2 linked regions of the Lepisosteus oculatus genome follow. The protein of the gene in region 1 interacts with the protein of each later gene in a pairwise test. Links are inferred from orthologs where the notes say so. Each region holds a gene or a part of one and is shown in the gene's direction. Other genes may lie near its edges.

The links.
Region 2: the proteins of apip (region 1) and PDZ domain-containing protein 4 interact in a two-hybrid assay, tested with the Homo sapiens proteins (2 studies listed by BioGRID and IntAct). The two-hybrid records come from large-scale screens. The link is inferred for Lepisosteus oculatus from reciprocal best matches to the Homo sapiens genes APIP and PDZD4.

Annotation. Positions count from the first base shown.
Region 1 is NC_090716.1:14,265,713-14,273,692, forward strand, and holds the start of apip (methylthioribulose-1-phosphate dehydratase), read left to right. Parts: upstream 1-4,720; 5' UTR 4,721-4,955; coding exon 4,956-5,009; intron 5,010-5,504; coding exon 5,505-5,605; intron 5,606-6,534; coding exon 6,535-6,583; intron 6,584-7,980. Other genes in the region: pdhx (pyruvate dehydrogenase protein X component, mitochondrial), read right to left, coding at 588-671, 3,288-3,423. UniProt on the Homo sapiens protein: Catalyzes the dehydration of methylthioribulose-1-phosphate (MTRu-1-P) into 2,3-diketo-5-methylthiopentyl-1-phosphate (DK-MTP-1-P).
Region 2 is NC_090697.1:74,993,848-75,001,128, reverse strand, and holds the start of PDZ domain-containing protein 4, read left to right. Parts: upstream 1-4,252; 5' UTR 4,253-5,347; exon of another isoform or gene 5,348-6,121; 5' UTR 6,122-7,281.

The DNA of each region.
Region 1 (7,980 bases):
GGCTCCAGTCTGCACATTCAGGCAGCCACAGCATTCTTACAAAATTCTCTTCTCGCAAGAAAGCCACTGTCAAGAAGCAGCAGATGCACACATGCGAGTTATCCTACTGGAATGCTGTCATGTCAGTATGAGACCACATCCTTCACCCGGGAGAGTGAGGGCCCAATCTGACTGTACAGTGCTACAAGTGGAGCTCCAACAACTAAACGGTACCAGACCTTTCCACATGGGCCTCCCCACCAATCCTGACAAGGTACTACGACTTCGTGGTCTCCCAGATCACAGCCTATTATTGATGGACCGCATCGGGCCATAACATCATAACACTGCCATAGTCCAGCTCCCCACAGATGGATGAACATAGGGGTTTATAGAATCCTTTCTGTGTGTTTTTCTTTTTTTCGAATATCACTCCACATGTTTAATAAGCTCAACCGCCAGCAGGATGAACTTGTGAAATAAAGAAGGAAGACCACAGGTGGACTGTGTTGTAGGACAAAACACTCCAAACGTATCGTTTTGCAGCAGAAGCACTCCTTTATTTCCTTTTGTTATGACACAGCTGCAGCAGACAGGACCTCTCTCACCTTCCCTCTTCAGCCACTTGACGATGTTGCCCTCCTCCATGGTGGGGGAAAGAGCTGGCATCATCACTTTGACTGGGGCCACTCCTGAAGGACAGAAGGAAACACACCGACTCTTACAAGCAGCAGCAGCCACAGAGATGGGTGGAGGAGGAGGGTTACCAATAAATAAATTAATTCTCACACTTTATGAATCGTACAAAAACTTTACGGGACTATGTATAACCCAATTTATGTGACCCAAACAAATGTAATGTTTAAGGTTAAAAAAAAATCCTGGAGCAAAAAGTCCAGGTCTAGAAAAAACAGCCTTAATGGTACTGGACAAAAAAAAAAGAAAAAAGAAAGAGAGCACTGTACAAAAAGTTGACTGGATGATTCTAAAGTGGGAAACCACACATGAAGGGATGTTCCTGCAGATTTTTTGATGACCCCAAACCACAAAGTATAAAGCATTTAATTTAAAAGAAGATTATGGTTAAGGTTTGTAAAGCATTTGTAACACATGAGTTTGAATATTGTGCTTAGTTTTGCACACTATTCCACAAAAAGGATATCACAGCCATGGAAAGAGTTCAGACAACCAAGACAAACAAGAGTCCTTACCTCAAGAGGTACTGGTTTATCCAGACAGATTAAAAGAGCAGCATGTCTTTGCTTTTAACACAACAGAGCAAGAGGAGATGTATTACATGTGTATAAAACTGTAATGGGTACAATATACAGCAAACATAGTTAACCCAGGGGACTACTTCACCAAAAATGAATACAGGATCACAACTGGAAAGTAGCAGGGAATTAATTTAAGGTAGACTACAAAAATAACAGAATCCTTCTTGACAAAAAGAGTTGTGGATTTCTGCTCTCCCAACCAAGTAGCTGAGGTCCCAAACTACTTCAAGAAAAACAAAATAGACGATAGACTGGAATGGTCTAAGAACACTCAGGGTATCTAGATGAAGGGTCAGAGCCAACTTTACTTCTTGAGGAGGCTCAGTACAAAAAGTAAACCGTGATTAAAAAACAATTGCAAAGAGACTTTGCTGCCCCCTGCAGCCCCTTTGAAGAATCACAACAAAATGGAATTATTGTTCATTACTATTGCAATGATCGAATTAGCACTTCTTTTAAAATGCTTTCCACCCAGTTGTTCTGATTGCTTTTTGTTAATGAGTTCTACGATACCTTTTAAAACCTACTAAAGACTAAATCGTCAATGACACCATATCCTAATAGTACATGATGCTTTAGATCTAGCAAGTTAGACCGGTATAATGCATGGTTATAAGGAGAAAACAAACTGCATTAGAGAGATAGCCATGCAAAATTAAAACATGTAGCACTGATGAAGGCAACATGAAGGCCATGCAAAGGAACAGTAACCAAAGCAGTAACAAGAAAGGGACAGCCAACCCCAGTTGTACTAATCGACGCTGTGTGATGCAGGGCCTGAAGCAGAACATCATACAAAGGACTGCTATGCTCTAAGGGGGCAGACAAGCATGCCTTGAATGTTCTCTTTTTTTTCCTGCAGAATTTAAAGACTAATCACAAAGTAGTAACAATATGACACAAATCATGTATGAAAAATGATAGGAGTTCATAATCACTTGGTAAGGATTACTCTTTCATCTTCTCACTACCTGGAAAGATATAATGAATAAAATAACAGGATGTATACTGCAGCTGACTGTTCTCACCGACACTTATTATTGATGGCCGATTTTCAAAGTCTTGGCTTTCCATTGGATGGAAGTCAGAATCATGACTAGAACACTCAATAGCACTCACTTTCTGTTGTTCCACTTGAATGTAGCTTTGGACTCATTTTGTGGGTCACTGCTCTGATGAAAAGCGAGTTTTCATCCCAGTTTTAGGTTGGCTACTATTCTATCACATAACCTTCATATTGCCTTTGTCTCCCTTTAGCAGACAGAAGACTTTTTTTTCTCCTTTAGACAAGCAGCACCATAACATAATGAAAGGTAGAAATAGTGTTGAGTGGACTATGCAGTTTAATATAGTTTTGTTCATATACTCAATTTTACAAAGTTTATGTAATAGAAACATGCAGGGATCAGCAACAAGGTGGTGAGGTTGCCGTTAACTAATGCTACAGCAAACATGCTGATTACCCCCAGCCTATTCCAACATAAATCAACAACAAGATATAACATAATACACATAAAATGCATATTGTGAAGTAGTCCAGCTGTATAGCTGCGTTAGCATGCGTAGGCTGCAAAGGAACAAGAAAAGGTTTATTCCTGAGAACACAACGTTTCGGCTATGGAGCCTTCTTCGGGTGTGGACGGTGGAGGAAGGGTGTGCCACCGGAAGAAGGCTCAACACCCGAAACGTTGTGTTCCCATTCTTCTCTTTTCAGCAGGAATAAACCTATTGCTTGATCTAATGCACTATATAAAGAACTGCAATGTTATGTTTATGAATTAAAATCTAAACTCCTAATGTGTACAGTAACTTGAGATGATCAACGTTAAATGTCCCCGTCTGTTGTCTATTTCTGGCTTGTACGTGTACTACAATTTAGAAGGGGAACCGTGCGTGCTAGTCTTAACGCTTTAAAAACTTTAAAACAGCGTAAAAATAAAATACAGCAGTACAAGTAGCACACAACCTTCCATTATAACCCAGCCAGCGATGTGCGTTTTGGTTTTTATCATGTGACACGCCAACACTTACCAAACATTGGTGAGGACTGAAAAAAGTGCCGATAATATCCATCCTGAGTTTGGGTTAAACCGGTGCATTTCTTCAGTTTTATTAACCTCAAACCACTCAATATCCCCCGATGTCCCATCCGCAAGGAGGCCGCCATATTTGTGTCCTCGGAAATTACCAGTTACCCTACTGCCTTTCAAAGTTTTGCGTTTCTGAGTGCAGAAATGAATGGATACGTTTTTTACTGCATGTTTCACGTTAGTGCTGTTTAACGAAAATATGACATTTTCCCACTTATTTTAAATAAAACAATTTAAATTTAGGCAGGATAACTAACTACAAAAACAAACGACAATTGTGATAGAAGGACCCCATCCATGAGAAGAGGTCCTTCGCGCTTCTTGTCGCTTCCTTTATACGCAAAGCCTGCAGATCTGCGCAGATCTCACTGCACTCGGCGGTCGGGCAGGCAAGAGCAGAGCTGCATGCAAATTTCGACTGCTAAGCCAGAAAAGTCTGCAAACTCCGCACTGTTGCATATGCGCAGGCAAAGCCCAGCCCTTCCAGTTTAATTCAGTGTAGGTGTGTTATACAGCTCCCTCCTTAAAACATTATCAGTTGGTACCCAAACACCCAAGCTACTAAAAAAAGTAGGAGGAAGTAGGATATTAACCCTTGCTGGATTCTTCTTGTGAGGACCAGAGTTGTGCACCTGTGTTCATTTTGCCCTTGAGTTGTAGTTGATGTAATCTCCACCTCAAGCCAGGGGTTTTCTTGTGAAAATGTGTCCCCTGGACACAGGAATGCGGCATGTCACACTGTAACATGTGGATTTCACAATGTAGAGTAAATAAAGCAGGTTGGGATGATACCTTTTCACATCCACATCCTGCTTACCTCATCTTTTGCTGAATAGGTGGTCACCTGCTCCATCTCTTATTGTGTTGGATGAGAAGGGTTTGTAGCAGGAGGAGTTCCTGCAATGTTGTGCCTGCTTCTCTGCTGTATTTTGACAACCTTTGTTTCACAAAAATACATTGTGAGGGGGGAAGAACAACAGACTGGAGGCACACCTAAGGTAATTTAACACTTCTGACAGTAATTACAAGTGCAGTGTCAGTATATCTCTGGTGTCAGTTTACCTCTCTGGTACACAGAACCCCAGTTCCTATAGCCTTTATAGGTTAAATCATTAGCATCTTAGGAACACTCATTTGTTTCTCAATTAAACAAAAAGAAATGTTCAGTTAGTTTAATTCTGGTACTTGTGGGCTGGATAATATTCAGATTTTCAGAGCTGCAGATGATCCAGCAAGCTGTGCCTCACGATGATACCAGCAACATGCGCATCTTGTCTTCCAGAGTTACCGAGTTTACTGACCGGGGCTGCGCAGTGACGTCACATACGACGTCACATGAAGCGGACCTGTGCAGATCTGTGCAGACGCTGCGCAGACTTATGCAGCAGGGAGCAGCAGGGAGCAGCAGCCATCGAAAACCAACATAGTGGCTGTACTGTTTAGACTTTCTGTGCCTCAAAAACGTGAGGGGTGGGTGGCGAGCGGTTTTCGTTTTCATCGTCCTGTTCTTTAAGGCGTTCTTGTGACCAAGTACACGGTCAAGGAACGAAAGCAAGTTTAGGCCTTAATTTAGGCATTAATTTTTATTTGCCGAAGAGTATTGCTAAAAATGTCTTCAGCGGTCTATAATCGCGACTGCTCTAAATGTGCCCAATCTATTGAGGTAAGTTTATCCAAAGTTGCTTTCTCAGAAATATAAAATGTGTTTACGTTACGTAACAATATTGAAGTTTTCCCCCCCTTTAAATCCGGACAACGCGAATGTCGATGATATAAACGTCGTTTACGCTGCCATGTGGTCAGCCTGCTTTTAGAAACTTTCAAGCAACAGACGCACATAATGCAATGTGCTAATTGTCCCTTTTAGCGTTTATTCTGTGGTATTGCCGCTGAATTATTATGACGTTCCACAATTAAATAATCACTCACGTGACAGATACCTTCGACATGTATTTTATTTGCGAGTTGTGGCCTTGCACAATTAAGAAATGAGCAGTATATTGCAACAAAAACAGCACAGATGTTGAGCTGCTCTGCACCGGATGGTGGTCAAGAATACTCCCTAGTGCCCTACTCCTTGAACTGACTGGACAGTAATGGAATTTGCTTGAGACAGAATGAGATTGCCGTTTGTTTTAGTGAATATTTTCCATTCCAGGACAAGGACAACCCAAGGTTGCTGATTCCTGAGCTCTGCAAACTCTTCTACCAGTTAGGCTGGGTGACAGGAACAGGAGGGGGTATCAGTCTCAGGCAGGGGTGAGTATGCCAAGCCTGAAGCTTAGAAATCTGGTGTGGTCATCCAGTGTGCAGCACCAATTCAGAGAACAAATGCCATTTCATAGAAAGAGTATGAAGTGAAGACAATCTTCATTCAGTTGTGCCCATTCAGGTTTGGGAAGGTGTGAGAGGCCGGTGACCCCAGACAAAATGTCTTCAAGGTGTAACTCGCCTTGCCATCTGGGGACAGAGCGCAGATCCTCCACTGTGCGTGCTGCGCTAGGCGTGAGGAAAGGAAGCCAGAGGCTGACCCTGTCAAGCCTCAGCCCTTTTAAATTCTCACCTGACCACTTGTCCTTGCAAACCGAATCTCCATTTTGTCTGGAGTCACTGCCCTCTTACAGGAGACTACCGTCTACTCTCTCAGCTGTGAGCCTAAATAGTAAGTCAACAGTGTGCTAAATCTACTGAGGCTGAAGCAGTAGAAGCATGTGCACTACAATGCATCTATATCACAAATGTATAAAGAGGTTGTCAAGAGGTAAACAGGATAACAGTGTTATAGGAACAAGTAATAGGTTTATTCCATGTTGAAAAGAAAAGAAAAAAAAACACGTTTTGGCCGTGGAGCCTTCTTCAGGTGTGAATGTGTGTAACAGGGATATTTCATCAAGATAAAATCCCTCCTGTAAGTTACTTTAAAATGTGTCTGATTTATACTGGTATGTTTTTTTTTTGAGGTGAAGACAGTCCTTTGTCATGTTCATGTGTTAGATTAAAAAAAGAGTGTCCAGGTGATATAGATTACATTCTTTATTGTGGAGAAGACAGGTGTAACTTCTCATTGGATAAAGGCAGTAACTGTCTTGTTCAGTTAAAATAAAGCAAGTAGTTCTTGTTACTTCACTTAGAAGCAAATGCTTAATGAGATTGTGTTCTGACTGTATCTCTCTGGCCTACCCCTTCAGAGATCACATCTACATTGCCCCCTCAGGAGTGCAGAAGGAAAGGATTCAGGTCAGTAAAGATCTCTGAGGAACTGCCTGGGACCTGTAACTGAATACCTTTTGAGTTTAATGCCTTTTTTCTCCCCTTGACATTAGGTGTCTGGTTAATGTATCTTATCTCAGGTATCTAGTCGGATAATATTTTTTTAGCTTTCATATAAGTCAGATATATCCTAGTACAATTTTAAATACAAAAAAAACAATTTTACCAATAAAATACCCAGATTGTTCAGAGTACGGAGCTGTGTTGGCATGTGAGCTTCAAATTAAAAGTTAAAGGTTATTTCTAAACTAAAAAGTAAAATAAGGACATATTTGTGGTGTATTAAGGAGAAAGTGTGTTGGATAGCAGAATGCTGTATCTTCTATGCTGTCTTTCTCCAAGCATGGAAGCAGTAGATTAATGCTAAGATCTCCTAATCTCTAGAGTGCTAGCAATCAACTACTGCACTTTCTGCATCACTTTGCAAACTTCCTTCCACCACAAATTAAGTGTTAATGTATCTTCCACCCATTTCCAGAACATAAACTTTAGTGTCAGCTACCCAGGACAAAAAAAAAACGTCTGTGTGTTACAACCCATGATAACTAATTCACTCAGTTATCTTCTTTTACAGCTCTTTCATGCGTGACACACAAGCTGAATTAGAATTAGTGTCTTTAATTAGAAAGGAAAATAGCAGTAAATTGTCAAAATACAAAACAAAACCTAACTGCTTTAGAGCCCTAACAAAGCTCTTCTCAAGTTTGTCGCTGAGCACAAAGTTTGGCAGAAGTACTGTTTACTAGCACCATCATATGTCTATATACTTTATTAATCATTGTCCTACTTGTCATGTGTAGATTCTGCTCTCAGGCGTTGAAAGCCTTTACTTCCTTGTTTTAGGTCATCACTTGGCAAATTGTCTTCCTTCTACTAGTAAGGTGATAAAAGGCAGCAGGTTATTCCCCACGTCATTCTGTAATTAAGCTGTATTTATCTTAATTATGTTAGCAATTAAATCTGATTAATTTAAGAAATATTGGCAGTATGGCCTCTGCAGGCATTGGGGGCCACACCTTGAAGCCACCCAAAAGAAGAATCCATGCTCCTAAGGCAGCTCAAGGAGTGCGAGGGGCTATTGGCCAGCCGACATCAGCCGCTCAGTGATATGTTGCTATGTATACTTATTAGGTTTCAAATGTTTCAAACTGGGTAACTGCCTTTCTAATGAAGGCTGTTGCTTTGAATCAGTCGCATAAAAATCAGATATTTACTGTAGGGTCTTTAGGAGGTGCCGGGGAGCAATCAGAGAAGGTATAGCCACAATGTTTCTGGATAGCAGGCTCCAGAGCGGGGGTGACAAGGGAGGAAGGATGAGAGGGACAATAAGACAAAGAGGGGGACTAGGCGACAGATAGGCTAAG
Region 2 (7,281 bases), on another chromosome or scaffold:
GGCTCGCTCTCCGTCCCTCGGGCTGTGACAGGAGGTGATACACTGGGCTGCAGCTCTATTGAGTTTCCTCCCCCAGTAGGATGGGGAGCTGTTCCGATTCTGTCAGGGGTGGGAATTCTGGGATTAGATTTGTTATCTTGGGGAAGACTGTTTGTCTAATCCCCCGAGTATTTCTTACAGTGCAGCGGAAAGTGCGTCTCTGTCTCTGCTTCTCCCAGCTGTCCTCTCGGGGCAGCCAGGTCTGCCTGTGTCTCCTAGTTTCTTTCTCTGATCACTGAGCCTGTCCTCTCTGGGCAGCCAGGTCTGCCTGTGTCTCCTAGTTTCTTTCTCTGATCACTGAGCCTGTCCTCTCTGGACAGCCAGGTCTGCCTGTGTCTCCTAGTTTCTTTCTCTGATCACTGAGCCTGTCCTCTCTGGACAGCCAGGTCTGCCTGTGTTGCCCAGTTTCTTTCTCTGATCACTGAGCCTGTCCTCTCTGGACAGCCAGGTCTGCTTGTGTCTCCTAGTTTCTTTCTCTGATCACTGAGCCTGTGCTCTCTGGGCAGCCAGGCCTGTACTTCATAAGTATCCCGGTCAGTGGTATGTATTGTCTTTTTAGGTCCCAGTACTCTTTCCGGCTTGTGCGCGTCCCAGTGGGGGAGGTAGTATTATTTGGGTTGTGCTGTGATGTGGTTTTGGAGCTGTCCTGAGGCCTGGCTGGAGTCAGTGTGGCTCAGAGCCGGGAGGCTGTGCCTTCTCTCTCACGCACACACTTGCATGTGCATAGGAATGGCTGCTCAATGCAATGCTATTAACATGGGAGAAATCTGCCTGTGATCCCATTTAGTGCAGCCAGCCTGGGAGAGGAGCACTTGTAATCCTGTTACAGAACTACAGTCCCTCCTCAGCCGGCAGCGGGCTGTGGGCTGTGAGTGTGTGCAGGCTTGTGTCAATCTGAGTCTCTGAGCACGCGGCGCCTGTGGGTCAGCACACCTCTGTGATCCATCGGCTCTCCCAGTATCCATGTCTGAGTGTGTATGGGAGCGATGGAGGGTGCGTGTGTGTAAGAGAACCAGAGAGAGAGAGAGAAGTGAAGTGACAGCGCTGTGACACAGGGCAACCCTGCTCTGCAATCAGTGTCAGCTTTGTTTTTATTACGGTTATTAACGGCTCATACCGCATTCGTTCCTCCAGACAGGGATGTGTGTGTGAATGAATGAGGGGCAGAGAGGGAGGGGGCAGGGAGACTCGGGAGAGAGAGAGAGAGGTGGGGATACGCCATGGAGAGCAAATATCTTTGAGCACCTCGGGGTCCACTGTGAGCTTTGTGCACACACAATCTCTTATTGGGCCATAGAGATGAGTGGAAATTTCAGCCGAGCAAAACATTAGCAGTTCGACATTTCTCAGAAATGTGCTTGAGATCTTTATCATCTTTTGGCATGTTAAATTAAGCGCAAGCCACTTCTTTCCTGGTGAAACAGCATGGTGGAGAAAAAATACTGTCCTACAGCCTCTGTTGCGTGCTGTGTGAATACGACATACTGTAACAAACCCCAAATGTTTAAGCAGTCCTCCTTTATTTTGCATGTCATGTCTGCATTCCTATTTGTCCCATTATTAAAAATGCATTGTGTCTTCAGTATATGAAGGTCATCGAAGACATTAGATGAAGAAGTTTGAGTAGGGAGATGTGTCAGCATGCGTAAGATGCAAAGGAACAGGTAAAGGTTTATTCCAGGCTGAAAAAGAGAGACAATGTTTTGGCTTGTCTTTCTTCCTTTCCCTTCAGCATGGAATAAACCTGTTTCTATGACACTAGATACCCGTCCATGTGCTTACTCTTTCCAGCATTGTGAGTGACAGCAATGTGATTTCGTTCACACAAGTCGCTGGCGCATTAGCAGTGGAGCATCGTAAAGGACATGTCATAGCACCGCTGAACAGAGGGGCAGAGAGATTCAAACAGACAGAAAGACAGCTGGCAGAGGTAGAGAGAGCTGGAGGAACAGAGGGAGGGAGACAGAGAGCTGGAGGAACAGAGACAGAGAGCTGGAGGAACAGAGACAGAGAGCTGGAGGAACAGAGTGAGAGACAGGATAGGCAGAGAGCTGGAGGAACAGAGGGAGAGAGACAGAGGAGAGGCAGAGAGACAGAGAACTGGAGGGAGAGTGTTGAATAATGTAGTTAATTCTGTGAGAGTTGCAGGAACAGAAAGAGGAAGAGGAAATGATCAATACTGCTTGAATATCTGGGAGCAAGAGACAGGCAGGGGAGATATAGGGAGAGAGGGAACATGAGTGCTGAAGATTTTTGAGGATGGGGAAGGGGAGGGAGAGAGGGGAAATGTAGAAACGTTCTGTACATTTCTGAGCCCCCTGAGCTGATGGCACCCGGCCAATGGCGTTCCTCCCTAGTTGTCAATTAGGAAATAATAATTAGAGACGGAGTGAGGGCACTTAGCGAGAGAGAGGAAGGGGTGGAGGGAGAGAGGAAGGTGTGGAAATAAAGGTATCAGCAGGGAGTCAGGAGCAGAGGGGAGAGAGGAGAAGGGAGGGATAGAGGAGTCAAGAAAGAGCAGTGGGACAGGACGAAAGACAAGGCCAGAGAGAGGAATGCAGTACATGGAGAGAGGCTGGAACAGAGGCACCAGGAGAGCTGAGAAGGGCTGTGGAGACAGAGAGATCGAGGGGCACCGAGAACGCGAGAGCAGCCATCAGCACGCCTACAGCACACACACACACACACACACACACACACACACACACACACACTGCTGACGGCAGCTGGAGCAGAGCCCATCCTCCTGCCCCGCGAGAGCCGCCCAGGTGTGGGGAGGACGGAGAGGACACGAGCAAAGGCGCGAACGACCCCCCCCCCAGCCTGCTGGGTGGACAGGCCTGCTGTACGGTCTGCGCGCTCCAGCTGGGCGCTAGGAGCTGTGGCCCACAGCACGGGGAACTGGGTAGTACTTTTCCAGCGTCTCTTCAATGACATCTCCCTCAGGAAGGAGCTCACCAGCGCCAGTCTCCGGGCCGGAACGGGCGGCGCTTTTGTGAGAAGAGCCGCACTGACACACCTACAGCCCTGAGCTCGGCGCTTGTTTGTACCCATGTGCCCGGCTTGAGTGACGCCTAAACGAGCCGTCCAAGCTGCTCGTTCGTACTCATGTAACATTCAGGCGCCTCCTGAACGTCTCTCTCGCTCAGCTGCCTTCCCTGCCTCTACCTGTCTTTCAGCGCTCAGCTGTCTCCCTCTTCTCCAGGCCTGCTTAGTGTTTCAGCTGTCTCCCTGGCTCCCCTCTCCCTAACCACACACACACACACTTCCTCCTCCGCGCAGACGAGGTTCCAGTTGGTTTGCTGGCGCGCTTGTTGACTGCTTCAGATTAGTGCCACAAACACGACAAGCACTCGCGTCTCAGCGCAGTGAGGTCGGCATCAGTGGCTTCACACTGGAGCAGTCTCATAGCAACACGGGGCCGCCACCGGCTCTCCCTCTCCCTCCCCCGGCTCGCCAGCCCTCCCGTTTCTTCCTGCTCCCCTCAGCGCGCCTCTCCCCCCTCTCCCCCATCTCCTCTGCCCCCCGTGTCCCCCACACGGTCCCACTTCCTCCTTCTCCCCACTTCCTTCCACTCACCTGGACTCCCAGTTTCCTCTCTCCCGAATCCCTCCACACCTTCCTCCTCTCCCTGTCCCTCTCTCCTCTCTCTGTCCCCTCCTCTCTCTGTCCCTCTCTCCTCTCTCTGTCTCCTCCTCTCCCTGTCCCTCTCTCCTCTCTCTGTCCCTCCTTCTCCCTGTCCCTCTCTCCTCTCTCTGTCTCCTCCTCTCCCTGTCCCTCTCTCCTCTCCCTGTCCCTCTCTCCTCTCTCTGTCCCTCCTTCTCCCTGTCCCTCTCTCCTCTCTCTGTCCCCTCCTCTCCCTGTCCCTCTCTCCTCTCTCTGTCTCCTCCTCTCCCTGTCCCTCTCTCCTCTCTCTGTCTCCTCCTCTCCCTGTCCCTCTCTCCTCTCTCTTTCTCCTCTTCTCCCTGTCCCTCTCTCTTCTTTCTGTCTCCTCCTCTCCCTGTCCCTCTCTCCTCCTCTGTCTCCGGACAGTGTGTGCTGTTCACTGGAGTTGTGCGTTCCCAGGGTTTGCTGCAGTGTCGGAGAGCCCTGCCAGCACACACACACACAAATACAGAAACAGAAAAGACAGGCAGAACTGCAAGGTAATTCTGTATCCACAGAGCGAGAGAGGGAGAGGGAGAGGGAGAGGGAGAGAGAGAGAGGAGGAGGAGGAGGAGGGAGGGGGGTTTGAGCAAGCGAGCAGATGAAAAGAGAGAGAGAGATACGCTGTCCGGAACAGCAGGAGAAATTGAGGCTGGTGGAAATTTGGTCTCTGTTGCTTCAGCCTCAGCGTCCTGAATTCCTCTCCACACGGACACAGCTGATCCCACTACCTGCTCCGGCACCTTGCCTTCCGGACTGCTCGGATTGAAGACACGGTGCACTTACAGCACACAGGCGTCTGCTGGCGGCACCACTGTCGTTAGTAATTGAAACACAGCTTCAGGAGGTGCTGGGTCTCTCTTTTCAGCCTTGTTCTCCTCTTGCTCTGCCGATTTGAAGATTAACCCATATTTTGCTGCTGTTAATGATGGGGTATCTCGTGTCGCTGGTACCCGGGCTGCCTTCCTGAGACACCCACCTGGCTGGAGATCTGGAAGTTTTTTTTTTTAACGACAAGCAGAGGCAGCAGGAGGGAGATTGCTATGCCGAGATTGCTGAGGACTAATTAAACGAGAGAAGGTGGGCTTCCCGTTCCCGTCGGCAACGCTTCTATCGGGATCGGAGAGGCCACTGCACAGCGCAGCCCGATCCCGCCCAGGTCCGGCTCCGGCTGTTCTGCAGGGACCTGCTTTCTGGACTCGGCGGCTCTTCTCTCTGGGAGCAGCGTGGAGGACCCGGAAAAGCGAGCCTGATTTATTCCCCCACCTCCATCCCCGGATCCCTCCGCTTGTTCCAGCTGCTGGCCTGGTCGCCCTCGGAGCCCGGTCGGGTCCCGTTAGCGAACTGCTCCTCGTGTCATTGTGTGGCGTGTTCAGCCCAGGTCGTGAGCAAGCCCACCTGCCTCCTGCCTCCTGCCTCCTGCCTCCTGCCTCTGTGTGTGTGTGTGTGTGTGTGTGTGTGTGCACGCGCTGTGTTGAAAATGAAAGAGGCTGTGATTTATCTGTAAGCCGAGGGGGGAGACACAGGGAGAGGTGCAGCCGAGCTCACAGTCTGCTCCAGGTTCGTGCTGCACAGGTCTGTGTTTACCGGGAAGCTGTGTGGCCATCTGACCGTCTGACACACAGACAGGGGTCCTAGGGCTCGTGCCAGGCTCCTGTGCTCGGTGAGTAAAGAGCATTTGTGATTTGGTCGAGATATCCGGGCTGCCTTAAGCGCGTGGTTGAATTCAGCTGCAACCAGGCCATTTTGTTATCCTTCGTGCATTTCGTGTCATATTGTCTGAAGGCTCCTCGTGCTTTAAAATAGAATTAGGTAACCTCTTGGCAGGCGTTTAAAAAAGGATTAGAGAGAATCATCACACAGCCCTGTGGCTTCCAGCGGGAAAGTGCTTACATTGGTTTCCTCCTCTACCGGTCTGGCGTTTTTATTTCATGCTCAGCTGACAGATAAGGCATAAAGCAGCAGATTTGAAAAGAAACAGAAATCCTGCGTTTTTTTTTTTCCTTCAGGAGGAACAGATGCTGAAGTTGCTGTAATCTGGGGCTCTCTGATACTGCAGCAAGAGAGAGAGAGAGAGCACCACCTTGTTGGAGCACTGGGATTATGAGATGAATATTAGATTAATATTAAAGGCTTATATTCACCAGCTTTGACCGATAAAGACACACACACAGACAGGGAGATCTGGCTGTCAGGCAGAGACACAGTCATCTTAAGTAAGTTGCTTTCATGGTCAGTTACTTGTTGAATGCCTTTTTTCAAGAAATGCATTGAAGGAGAGAGACAGGATAATACAGCAACACTGTAAGATAGGTGTTGGAATGAAAAAATGTAAATATACATGTAATTTTATCTATTAACTTATTTTTCCTTAAGTGTTTCAGTATTTGCTCTCACCTGTTCATTAGGACTGTAAGAGCCTGCTCTTTGTCAACAGCTCAGCAGTTCTGATTGAACTGGAGAGACTGGAGTGAAGATGGCTTTCACCTTTAGTCGGCATAGACACAGCATTTAAATCCAGTCCTGCCTGGCCACTTTGCTATGATCTATTGATCCCTTATTGATTTTGCCATTGGTCAGAAAGAACAATCCCAGGTGGTATCTGTGTCAGGATCTTTTATTAAGACATTAGCCTGCGGGAGGTAATACAATTAAATTCAATTACAGACAACAAATACCTTGACATTTCAGTAGGTAACCAGGAAAGAGACAGAGGGGAGTAGATTTAGGGGGAGACAACGTTTAAAACAACGACCCGAGAGAGAAGACTAGGAGAAGGAGCATCGCAGTGTTACAGGACATGCCCTGTGGCCATCTGGCACACGGTGGCTGGGAGGGGCCATGAGGACTGGCCACCAGCGTTGTCTCTTGTGCTTCCTCTCTGGAAGGGGACAGGACTGATTTCTCAGCTCAGGGAGCCACTACAAGAGCCGCAGACAATTGCACAGACAGTTCCAGGCCTCCCCAGGCACTGATGTGTATCTTCTACTGATGTGCGTTTAAGCCCGTTGAAGGCCTGCTGTGGCCTGTGCAGCTCTGAGAGCCGTGGATGCTCCAGGCTTGTAGCTGTGGCTTCAGCACCCCAGGGGAGGTTGGGCTGAGGGCTGTGATCCCTCTGTGCACCGCAGAGCTTCAGAACGTCCTGCACAGCTAAGCGACTGGCTCCCACAGCCCAGGGGAGGACCGGCGCTCGGGGCTGGGGTGAGACCTCCGAGGAGCATCTCTCTAGCGCCGGGCTCGCTTCGCTGTCCTCTCGGGCCCGCTCAGAGCCTGCCGGTCGGCGAGCTGGTCAGTCTGCACCGGCTGCACTACCTGCTGTGGTCTCCTGGTTTACTCTCCCGGCCTGTCTGCCCACCTGTCCAGCAGTCAAGGCCTGGGACCCGGCGGAGAGACACCCCCGTGGAAAATGCTGCGTGGCTTAAACAAGTCCACCGATGAGCCTGGCAGTTTCATGTTAAATGAGTTGAAGAGGCTCAAGAGAGAGGCCCTGTAGAGAGAGAGAGAGAGAGAGAGAGAGAGGCGGAGGCCAGGACAGATCCTGAGCCAGAGAGTGCTCACAGGTAGAGCTTCAAGCCCGAGGCGGTCCAGGACTGAGCT